Caenorhabditis elegans: one gene and its partner. The protein of the gene in region 1 interacts with the protein of each later gene in a pairwise test. Each region holds a gene or a part of one and is shown in the gene's direction. Other genes may lie near its edges.

Region 1 (3,627 bases):
TGTACATGTTCGCAATTTTATTACCTATTTTTTGGAATGGGAACTGGTTTTTTCTCGAAACCTTTGACCAAAGGAAACATCTAGAAAAATGAAATCAGCACATTTTTTGAGAGCAATTTAGAAAAGAAAAGACAATAAAATGAAACAAATTTCAATGTTTTTTTCTCGACTCTATTGTTAATATACTCTGAAGCGTAACAAAGGTGTGAATAGTGGATCTCCTATTGATCGGCAGGAATGACACGGAAGATGAGACGGACAGCCGGGAGAAAAAAGATATTACGGAAGATTTTGAGACGCAGATTGATGGGAATTGGACTTGTGACTTCTTGTTTTCCGGAGATTCTTTACTATATCATAATTTTATTGACAGATATCCTTCACTGGTGGGCTGAAAATATAATAGAGTCCCCAGAAATACGGCACCGGGTCTCGTCGCGAAACACCATCATTAAATAGAAAAGTGAGTGTGCCTTTAGAGATTACTGTAATTTCTTTTTATTGATTTACGAAAAAATAATTTTCCACTAATTTTTCGATGAAGAACTTTTTATTTTTCGAAAAGTTTACAAAAAAAACTTTAATACATCCACTGAAACAAAAATTTGAAGTTACAGTACTCTTTAAAGGCACACACCTTTTTGTGTGCGAAAATTTGACGAGACCTGCTACCGTATTCTTTGGGAAAAATCATGAAATTTATCTGGCCAGATCTGGACAATTATAATTAAAAAAATATATTTTCAGGAAAATCTGATTGAATATTGGAAATCGTTGTTTATTCTCAGAGATTATTATTTGCAAAATCTGCATTTATATGTCTAAATAACACTAGCTAGTGCACTAGGCTAAAAATTGAAAGATTCATTATTTCAAAATTTGCAAAATTTTACCTCCACCGAGGTCTGAGTTGAGTAAAAACATTTTGTTCACATTTTCGCGATTGAATTGATTATTTAAAAAATTAAGCACTAATAAAATATATTTTTAACGTCGAATATTAAAATTTTTCCAAGAACTTTGTTCTCCAGAATTGTTCATCTCGAAATCTGCAGCATCTCTGGTGCCAGCAAGTGCGCTCCAATGCGAACATTTCATTTAAATTTTTTTTTTTTCGTTCTTTTTTTAACAGATTTTATCAATTTTTTGCGATTTTCATTATTTTTTCAAGTAAAAAACATATTTAATGTTATTTCTTATATTTCACAATATTAATTCAACTATTAAAAAACAATTGCATCGATTTCTGGGTGGGTTATCATGCGAAACCGATAAAAACCGTTATTATTATTATTATAATGACTCATAAGTTTCTCCAAGGAATTCGAATTCTGCTTTCACATTCCTTTCCGACCGTTCACTTTCTTCCTATATTTACTCTCCTCGTTTTCCTCTGTATTTCTCCAACTTTTCGCCTTATTATCTGCGTCTCTCTCCGCTTTTGATTTCTGTATGTATTTGCGATGCAAATCGATCGTATGCGGGTTTTTCCTTTTTTAACACAGCTTTCTCCTCTTAAAATTCACTCAAAAATCATGATTTTCATTTCAGCAGTTTCACAATGAACGAAGAGGGTGGATATCTTGGAGCGATGACATATCAATGCCTGTACAGTCCTGTGATGGAAAAAATTAAGTGGGTTTCAAGAAATATCAGTTTTTAAACATAATAATTTAAAAAATATATTTTAGACAGCAACATCGTGATGATCCAAGAGCTTCTCTCGCCCTAAACGTAAGCTATTCTATATAAGAATATTTTCTATGAATTTTATACTGTTAAACGAAAAAAAATAAATTAACAAAGAATTATTCAGAAACTGCACACTGCACTGACCACTTGTGAACAAGCTTCTCCGTCGTTTCTCTATGATTTCACAAAAGTTTTGCTGGATGACTCGGAATTGAGCGTTAATCTGCAGGAATCCTATCTGAGAATGCATGACACCTCGCCGACAAATGATTTGATTGTCAGTGGATATGAGCAGAATGCTGATTATAAAGAGCTCACGAAACGGTAATCAAATTAGATAATTTTTTTCAAAATTCCTGGCGTACGAAAAAAATTACAGAGCAATCGAGCTTCGTCGTGTTCTGTCCCGGGTTCCCGAAGAAATGTCGGATCGTCACGCCTTCCTGGAGACCATCAAGCTCATCGCATCATCAATCAAGAAACTTCTTGAGGCAATAAACGCCGTCTACAGAATTGTTCCACTCACTGCGCAGCCGGCCGTTGAGAAACGTAAACGGGAATTTGTGCACTACTCGAAAAGATTCAGTAACACTTTGAAGACGTATTTTAAAGATCAGAATGCAAATCAGGTTCGTGGGAAAAAATGTGCTTTTTTACTTAAATGCGTCGAAATTTGTCCTTGACTCCGAATATCTATGTGAAAAATTCAAAAGCCCCGGTTTTTCTGGGAAAAAATTCGCACTGAAATATAAAATCAGGGAGATTTTTTTTTAATTTTTTCACATCGATATTCGGCAAATTTGGACTTTTTTTTAAAATAAAAACCTGTAAATTTTCCCCAAATCTTGGGAAAATCAAACTAAATTCTTGAATAATATTAAAATCCATTTTTTTAAAACAAATTCTGAGCCTAAATTCAATGTTTGCAGGTATCCGTGTCCGCCAACCAACTGGTTTTCCAAACGACAATGATAGTCCGCACAATCAACGAAAAACTTCGCCGAGGATAAGCTCACCCATATGGCGGCTTATAACTGTGATCTACTAGACGGCTCTTTCCTTTTGCATGTGTTTTACTTTCATTTTTTGTTCACTTAATTTCTTGTTCTCATCCACACACTCATCACTTTATACATCGGATCTGCACACTTTCTTCTTTCTATGATTTTTCCTTTCCCAATTTTCTGTTTATTGACTGAAATTTTAGGAAAATGATTAACGTATTATGCTTTATATGGTTTTTCGGATTTTTTTCACTTCAAAAATATTGTAATAAGTAGCTCAATTATCATTCTTCCTTTCTTTTTCATGTGCCTTTCTTTGATTTTTCCTCGTTTTTTCACCCACTGATGTACTAGATTTTTTTCCATAAGTCGGTTTCTTCTCCAAATAACGTGATAAATTATTCAGAAATTTTTAATATTTTAATTGACTGTATTGCAATTCTTGTTGTCGAAAACTTATTATATATCTAATTAACTTCACTTTAAAAAATTTCAGACCAATTTTAAATTAATTTCAGAATTTAAAAAATGGATGACGAAGAGGATCTGTTCGGCTCGGATGCCGAAGATGACAAGGAGAAGGTGGTAAATCCGGAGGATAAGAAGCACGTGCTGAGACGAGATTTGAGATCAATGGTCTATGGCTTTGGAGATGATAAGGTTGGTAACAGGGCTGTGCAACTTTTTGAATCAAAATTTATTTGCATTTCTATAACAAATTAAAAAGAAATTAAATGAGCGGTTTTTCTAAGATTCCGATTGATAATTTCCTGAATTGTTTATAAATAAATGTTTCAGGAGCCATACGACAAGACCCTGGACACTCTTGAGGCCATTGTCCTAAACTACATCAAAGAGTTATGCCAACTGGCGATGAAAGTTGGAAAACCGGATAAAATGGCACTTGAGGACATTCACTATCTGATTCGTC
Region 2 (7,527 bases), on another chromosome or scaffold:
ACGTTCAGGACGCCTACATCAGTGCTCACCATCAACTCGTGAATTTCGTGCGATTCTGCGAGCTTGTCGTTCCGTTGTCGGTGAATTTGCTCGTTATAACGCTGAGAACTGGCGAAGAGGCACGGAAGAATCAGGCAGAGTTCGAGGAACTCTCAAAGTGGGGGAAATTCGCCGGGAAAATTAGAAAATTTTGTGATTTCAGAAGCCTTGCGAAGCGCGGAGTGATGTTCAACGTCGAGTTCAGCACGACAATTCATGATCGGGAAATTATGTACAGATTTGAATTAATTTATCCCCCCGAAATGTGCTCAAACCTCTTGAAAAATTCGATAAATGGCCGGATTTTCGTTAAAATCTCCGGTTTCGACCACTTTTCTGCGTGGCAGCGGTCCGAAGTTCACTTTTATTTGATTATCCAATCTTTATTGCATATTTTGGTAGTTTATCTCTAAATATTTCGAAAAAAGTGGCCAAAAATGTCCAAAATATCTATATAAAGCCGGAAAATGACCGAAATTTGGCCAAAAAAGATTAAAAACGGCCAGAAATGCCCGAAATTTGCCAAAAATAACCAAAAAATTAATAAAATTAGTCACAAATTCCCGAAGTTGACCGGAAATCGCTAAAAATAGACTAGCAATGGTCAAAAAGAACCAAAGGAATGGCCAAAATGACCGAAATTGCCACAAAATATTGGAAAATGGCCAGAAATGTCCGAAAATTCGCCAAAACGAATGAAAATGACAGAAATTTTGATCATTTTTGGCCAATTTCGGTCATTTTTGGCTTATTTTTTGTCATTTTTTTTAGTAGATTTTGGCTTTTTTTGGTCAATTTCGGTAATTTTCAGTCAATTTGTAGTCATTTTTAGCCAATTTTTAATCATTTTTGTCCAATTTCGCTCATTTCGGCTTTTTTTTGGCCAATTTCGGTAATTTGCAGTCAATTTTTAATCATTTTTGGCCAATTTTTAGTCATTTTTGGCCAATTTTTAGTCAGTTTTGGCTAATTTTTAGTCAGTTTTGGCTTATTTCTGGTCAATTTCGGTAATTTTCAGCAAATTTTAGTTATTTTTCGCCAATTTTTAGTTATTTTCTGCCAAATTTTGGTAATTTTTGGCCCATTTCGTTAATTTTCAATCAATTTTTAGCTATTGTTGCACAATTTCGGTCATTTTTGGCTTATTTTTGGTCAATTTCGGTCATTTTTAGCCAGTTTCGATCATTTTTGACTAATTTCAGTCATTTTTGGCCAATTTTTAGTCATTTTCTGCCCAATTTCGGCCAATTTTTAGTCACTTGGCCATTTTTAGCCAATTTTTGATAACTAATTTCGTTAATTTGAGTTAAAAAACGATTTTAATGCATTTTTTAAATTATTTTCCAGATTCGACAACGGTTGGGTGGTGAAAAGTGGCCGCGGGCTCGACTATTTCAAAGCTTCCGATGGGAAATATGTGCTCGGCGCCAACGATATGGATCAGCGGCCGTGCCACGAGACTATTATCAATATTTTGAAGCGGAAAACTTGATTTTTCGTGTATTTTTTCAATGTTTTCTGTGAATTATCACACTTTTCCGGTTGTAAATAGTAATTTATCTCGATTTTTTCACCAATTTGCCAGAAAAAATGCCATTTTTCCAATTTATTGTGTGTTTTTTTTTCATTTTTTAAAAAGCTATTTCTTGGTTTCCAACCAGCGAATTATCGATTTTTCCCCCACAATTTTCCGTTTATTTTCTGCTTAATCCACATTTCCACTGGAAATTTTCCAGCACGATGGTCAAGAAGCAAAGTATGCCGGAGAACAAGGAGCTCGTCGAGTACAAGCAGAAGCTCTTTGCCGAAGCCGAGAGGCTCGTCAAAGAGGAATTTCCGAAGAAAGTTATCGAGTTCGACGCGTTGCTCAAGAGCCCAAAGCTCTCGTACGATCGTCTCGCCGAGATTCTTCCCGATAAATCGTTGAATATTCCGATTCCGGATGCGTTGGTACGGAGGGGAAAAATATCGAAAAAAAAAATAGTTTTTTCTCAAAAAATAGCGATTTCCGTGTGAAATTTTCAAGTTTTTTAACGCTTTTTTGCTGAAATTGACTGAAACTGGCTCCAAACATTAAAAAAATACTTTTTTTGCGTTGAAAATACCGAAATTTTATTTAAATTTTGATTTTTTCCTGTAAATTTGCAAATTTTTGCTTTTTTTTAAAGATTTTTGCACAAAAAAAATCAGATTTCTGTGAAATTTTCAAGTTTTTTAGGCTTCTTTAACGCTTTTTTTGCTGAAATTGACTGAAACTGGCTCTAAACATTTTTTTTAACGGCCCTAATTTTTTTGCCAAAAAGGCGATTTCCGTGTGAAAATTTCAAGTTTTTCGAGTTATTTTTTCGCTGAAAAAGACTAAAACTCGCCAAAAACGATCCGGATTTCGGGAAAAAAACCAATTTTTGCTGAAAATCGAATTTTCGAATAAATTTTTATGTTGTATCATGGAATACAGCTGAATTTTGCTGGAATCTCACAGAAACGACTAAAATTTGGTTCATATCCGCCTAAAATATGCAATAAAGGGTTATAATTTAATGAAAACTAAAAATCTCAGAAAAAATTCGAAAAATGTGCAGAATTTTGCTAAAATTTGAAATTTCTAATTAAAAAATAGGGTTTCTTGAATAAATTTCAATAAACCCAATTTTTAATCGGAAATTTCGAATTTTTGCAAAATTCTGCACATTTTTCGAATTTTTTCTGAGATTTTTAGTTTTCATTAAATTATAACCCTTTATTGCATATTTTACGTCGATAGGCAACCAATTTCGGTAATTTCTGAGAGATTTTAGCGAAATTTAGCTGGATTCCATGGCTGCAGCTGCTTCGACAAGAAAATTTTGTGAAAATTTCGGATTTTAGCGATATTTGGCTCTTTTTATCTGAAATTCTGGGCGTTTGGCGCAAGTTTTAGTCTATTTCAGCAAAAAAACATATTAAAAAAAAACTTTAAACTTTCAGAGAAATCGCCTTTTTTGCGAAAAAAATCTCAAAAAAAAAAGCAAAGATTTACCAATTTACTGGAACAAATCAAAATTTAATGAAAATTCCGGTAATTTCAGAGAAAAAAACCAAAAAAAAAGTTTTATTTTTAATTTTTGGAGCCAGTTTCAGTCCATTTCAGCAAAAAAAGCGTAAAAACTTGCAAAAAATAATGTAAAAAAATAAAAAATTTGCCAATTTACAGGAAAAAATCAAAATTTAAAGAAAATTCCGGTTATTTCAAAATTAAAAACCAAAAAATAGTCTTTTTAAAATGTTTGGAGCCAGTTTCAGTATATTTCAGCAAAAAAAGCCGTAAAAATTCGAAAATTTCACAGAAATCGCCTTTTTATTCCAAAAATCCTATCAAAAAAAGCAAAAATTTGCCAATTTCCAAAAAAAGGGGAAAACATTTTTAAAAAATAGTATTTTTACAATTTTTGGAGCCAGTTTCAGTTTATTTCAGCAAAAAAAAGCGTTAAAAAGCCTAAAAAACTTGCAAAAAAATGTTAAAAAATAAAAAATTTGCCAATTTACAGGAAAAAATAATAAAATTTCGGTAATTTCAGAAAGAAAAACGAAACACCTTTTTTAATCGTTTGGAGCCAGTTTCAGTATATTTCAGCAAAAAAAGCCGGAAAAATTCGAAAATTTCACAGAAATCGTCTTTTTTTTTTGCAAAAAAAATATCTCAAAAAAGCAAAAATTTACCAATTTACAGGAAAGTATGAACATTTAAATAAAATTTCGGTAATTTCAGAGAAAAGAACCAAAAAAATAGTTTTTTTTTTTGACATTTTTCGAGCCAGTTTCAGTTTAATTCAGCAAAAAAAGCGTTAAAAAACCTTTAAAAAACATGAAAATTTCACAGAAATCGGTTTTTTGCGAAAAAAAAAGTTTAAAAAAATCTCAAAAATGGAAAAATTCACCAATTTCCATTAAAATCACTGCAACTTTTTCCTCACGAGGGACGAGGAAAAGTGGTTTCTAGGCCATGGCCGAGGGGCCGACAAGTTTCAGCGGCCATTTATCTTGCTTTGTTTTCCGCCTGTTTTCTTTCGTTTTTCATCGATTTTTCCCGTTTTTTCTTATTAAAACTGATAAATAAATACTTTTTGCAAATGCTAAAACAATTTCCAAGTAAAAAAATTATGTATTCAGTGGGCAAGCAGCGGTGAAAGTGGTCAATGCAATATGATGGATTACGGGAATACAAAACCTAAACTTTTTCTGAAACATGATACATATGATGCTTAGATGCTGAAATTACCTGATTTTCATAACGAGACCGCTGAAAAAGTTTTGAGGTTTCCAAATTCAACTTTTTTGGTGAAAAAGTCGAGATTTTCGCACAAAAATTTGAATTTTGAAAACCTCAAAACTTTTTCAGCGGTCTCGTTATGAAAATCGGGTAGTTTCAGCATTTAAGCAGCATATGTATCATGTTTCAGAAAAAGTTTAGGTTTTGTATTCCCGTAATCCATCATATTACAATGCCCACTTTCACCGCTGCTTGCCCACTGAATACATAATTTTTTTACTTGGAAATTGTTTTAGCATCTGCAAAAAGTATTTATTTATCAGTTTTAATAAGAAAAAACGTGAAAAAGCTGTGAAAAACGAAAGAAAACAGGCGGAAAACAAAGCAAGATAAATGGCCGCTGAAACTTGTCGGCCCCTCGGCCATGGCCTAGAAACCACTTTTCCTCGTCCCTCGTGAGGAAAAAGTTGCAGTGAAAATATCAAAATTTAAAGAAATTTTCTCTGTAATTTTTTTTTCAACGCGAAAAAAAAACCAAATTTTTGCAGAACGGCACCACGGACAGCGATGAGCCAGCGGTAAAGCGTCAGCGAGTCGACGAGAAGCCCAAAGGAGCCCCGATCTTCGCGTTCAGCAGCGGCACTGTCCCATGCAACGAGAATCTCGCCCAACTCATGGATCTGGTTCGCCCGAAGCTTCGTGACGCTGTCGAGCAGTGTAACAACGTGAAAATGTGGATCACTTTGCTCATTCCACGCATCGAAGACGGCAATAATTTCGGCGTCGGAATCCAAGAGGAGACACTGTCCGAAGTTCGGAATGTCGAAAGCGAGGCCGCCTCGTTTTTGGATCAAATGAGCCGATATTTTACGACTCGTGGAAAGCTTATCACGAAGATTGCTAAATATCCACATGTGGATGATTATAGACGTGCTATTCTTGATATGGACGAGAAACAGTTCATTAATATTAGGTTGGAGCAGCAGAAATTAGCGAAAAATTGAATTTTTTAATGAAAAAAAGTTTAAATTTCGGAATTTTCAAAAAAAAACCGATTTTTTCTAGGTTTTTTTCCTTTTTTTGGTCTAAAAAATCTATAAAAATTTTAAAAATTGCAACAAAAAGAAAAAAAGCGGATTTTTTCAAAGGTTTTTCCTTTTTTGAGCTATTTTTAAAACCTTTTTAGCCTAAAAATCCAAAAAAAAACCCGAAAAATTGCAAAAAATGTTCAAAACAGTTCAATAATATTAGGTTGGAGCGAAATAGCGAAAAATTGAATTTTTGAAGAAAAAATCTCACTTTAAAAATTTTCAAAGAAAAAGTCGAAAAACGGATTTTTTTGAAAAGTAAAACACTTTTTTTGCCGTTTTTTGGTCTAAAAAATCCAAAAAAAAAAACCTTAAAAAAAATTGTTTTTTTTTAATTTTAAAAATACAAATCATCTCATAAATATTAGGCTGGAGCGAAAATTAGCATAAAATATCGAATTTTTAAAAATTTCACAAAAAGAAAGAAGAAAACACATTTTTTCAAGGTTTCTTGCCTTTTTGCTAAAAGGCTAATTTACTAATTATTTATGCTAATTTTTGTTAAAAGGTTGCCTTTTTTTTTTGTCTAAAAAATCCCAAAAAAACCTTTAAAAATTGTTGTTTTTTTTAAATTTTTTCAAAATAAAATAAAAACCATTTCATAAACATTAGGTTGGAGCGAAAATTAGCGAAAACATTTTTTTGAAAGAAAAAATTTCAATTTTAGAAATTTCACAAAAGAAAACCAAAAAAAAAAAAAGCGAAGACACATTTTTCGCTACTTTTTTCGTTGTTTTTGCTAAAATTAAAAATCTAACTTTTAGAAACGCGATTTTTCAGTTTTGGCTAAATTCCCTCCAAAATGAGAACTTCCCGACCAATCAGCGATTCGCTCCGCCCACATTTATCTAACCAATCAGATGGAGTGGGCGGAGTTCCACGTCGCTGATTGGTCGGGGAGTTCTCATTTTGGAGGGAATTTAGCCAAAATTGAAAAATCGCGTTTTAAAAGTTAGATTTTTAATATTTATTTTTTGCAATTTTTCTGAATATAAAAAACCGAAAATAGTTTTAAAAACGAAAAAAAAAAAATTAAAAATATTATAATTCTATTTAAAACCCAAAAAATCTTTAAATAAAAGAAAACCAGAACTCAAAAAAAATTATTTGAAAAAAACCAATAAAAACACGATTTTTCGAATTCCCTCCAATATGAAATCTCCCCGACCAATCAGCAACTCCGAGCTCCGCCCACTCCATCTGATTGGTTTAAAAGTGGGCGGAGCGAATCGCTAATTGGTCGTGTGCAGTTCTCATTTTGGAGGGAATTTTTTTTTTATATTTGTAAAGTTTCCGAAAATTTATTGAATTTCTGTGTGTTTCAGATTGGTGGTTCTCGAGATGCGCAATCACTTCTCCACACTTCACGATATGATTATGAAGAACTATGAGAAGATCAAGGTTCCACGCACCTCCAACACCGAACATCTTTATTAAGGAATTGAATCCATCATCCTGTTTTAATGTTTGCTTCGGTCTCAAATTTTACCCAATTTTTGATTGTTCTTTCGAGTTTTTTATTATTATTGTTGAATTGTTTTTTTGTCCCAGTTTTTTTTGTTTATTCTCCGCATTTTTAGGAGCTCTATTAAGACTAATTTTTCTTTTTCTTTCTGTTAAAATTTTGTGAAATTTTCAAGGTTTTTTGGCCTTTTTTATCTACCTTTTTCTCATTATTGCTTAAAAATCAAAAAAAAAAGTGAAAAAATTAATTTTAAAAAAAGACTTTTTGCATCTTTTTTTTTTTGAACAAAAACTCCAAAATTTCAAATTTAAGCAGTTTTTTCATGGGTTTTCTGAATTTAGGATTTTCTGGAGAAAAATTGCCTTTAAAAAAAGGCAAAAAAACCCTGAAATTTTCCACAAAATTTTTACCGAAAAAATTTGAATAAAAAATCCAAAAAAAAAAAGATTTTTCTGAAATTTTGGTCAAAAATTTTTTAAAGTTTTTTTTTAGTTTTGTTAAATTCCGCCATTTTTTTTTTTTTGAAATTTAAAACTCAATATTTCACTTTTAATACAATTTTATAGGGCTTCAGCGCTAAATTAGCATTTTTGAAAAAAATTTAGCGTTGCAGCCTTGTAAAATTGTACTAAAATTGAAGTATTGAGTTTTAAATTTCGAAAAAAATGGCGGAATTTGAACAAAAC

The links.
Region 2: the proteins of ccm-3 (region 1) and psme-3 interact in a two-hybrid assay, tested with the Caenorhabditis elegans proteins (one large-scale study listed by BioGRID).

What each region holds. Positions count from the first base shown.
Region 1 is NC_003280.10:10,605,200-10,608,826, reverse strand, and holds ccm-3 (Programmed cell death protein 10 homolog), read left to right. Parts: upstream 1-1,551; 5' UTR 1,552-1,561; coding exon 1,562-1,635; intron 1,636-1,691; coding exon 1,692-1,734; intron 1,735-1,816; coding exon 1,817-2,016; intron 2,017-2,071; coding exon 2,072-2,321; intron 2,322-2,621; coding exon 2,622-2,702; 3' UTR 2,703-3,110; downstream 3,111-3,627. Other genes in the region: taf-13 (Transcription initiation factor TFIID subunit 13), read left to right, coding at 3,225-3,356, 3,495-3,627. UniProt on the Caenorhabditis elegans protein: Involved in excretory canal elongation during postembryonic development. Plays a role in promoting Golgi stability, ER integrity and vesicle transport probably by regulating the activation of Rho GTPase cdc-42. Involved in fertility.
Region 2 is NC_003281.10:11,566,362-11,573,888, forward strand, and holds psme-3 (Proteasome activator complex subunit 3), read left to right. Parts: upstream 1-1,775; 5' UTR 1,776-1,779; coding exon 1,780-1,989; intron 1,990-4,836; coding exon 4,837-5,261; intron 5,262-6,701; coding exon 6,702-6,813; 3' UTR 6,814-6,982; downstream 6,983-7,527. Other genes in the region: Y66D12A.10 (MITD1 C-terminal phospholipase D-like domain-containing protein), read left to right, coding at 1-157, 203-271, 1,387-1,531.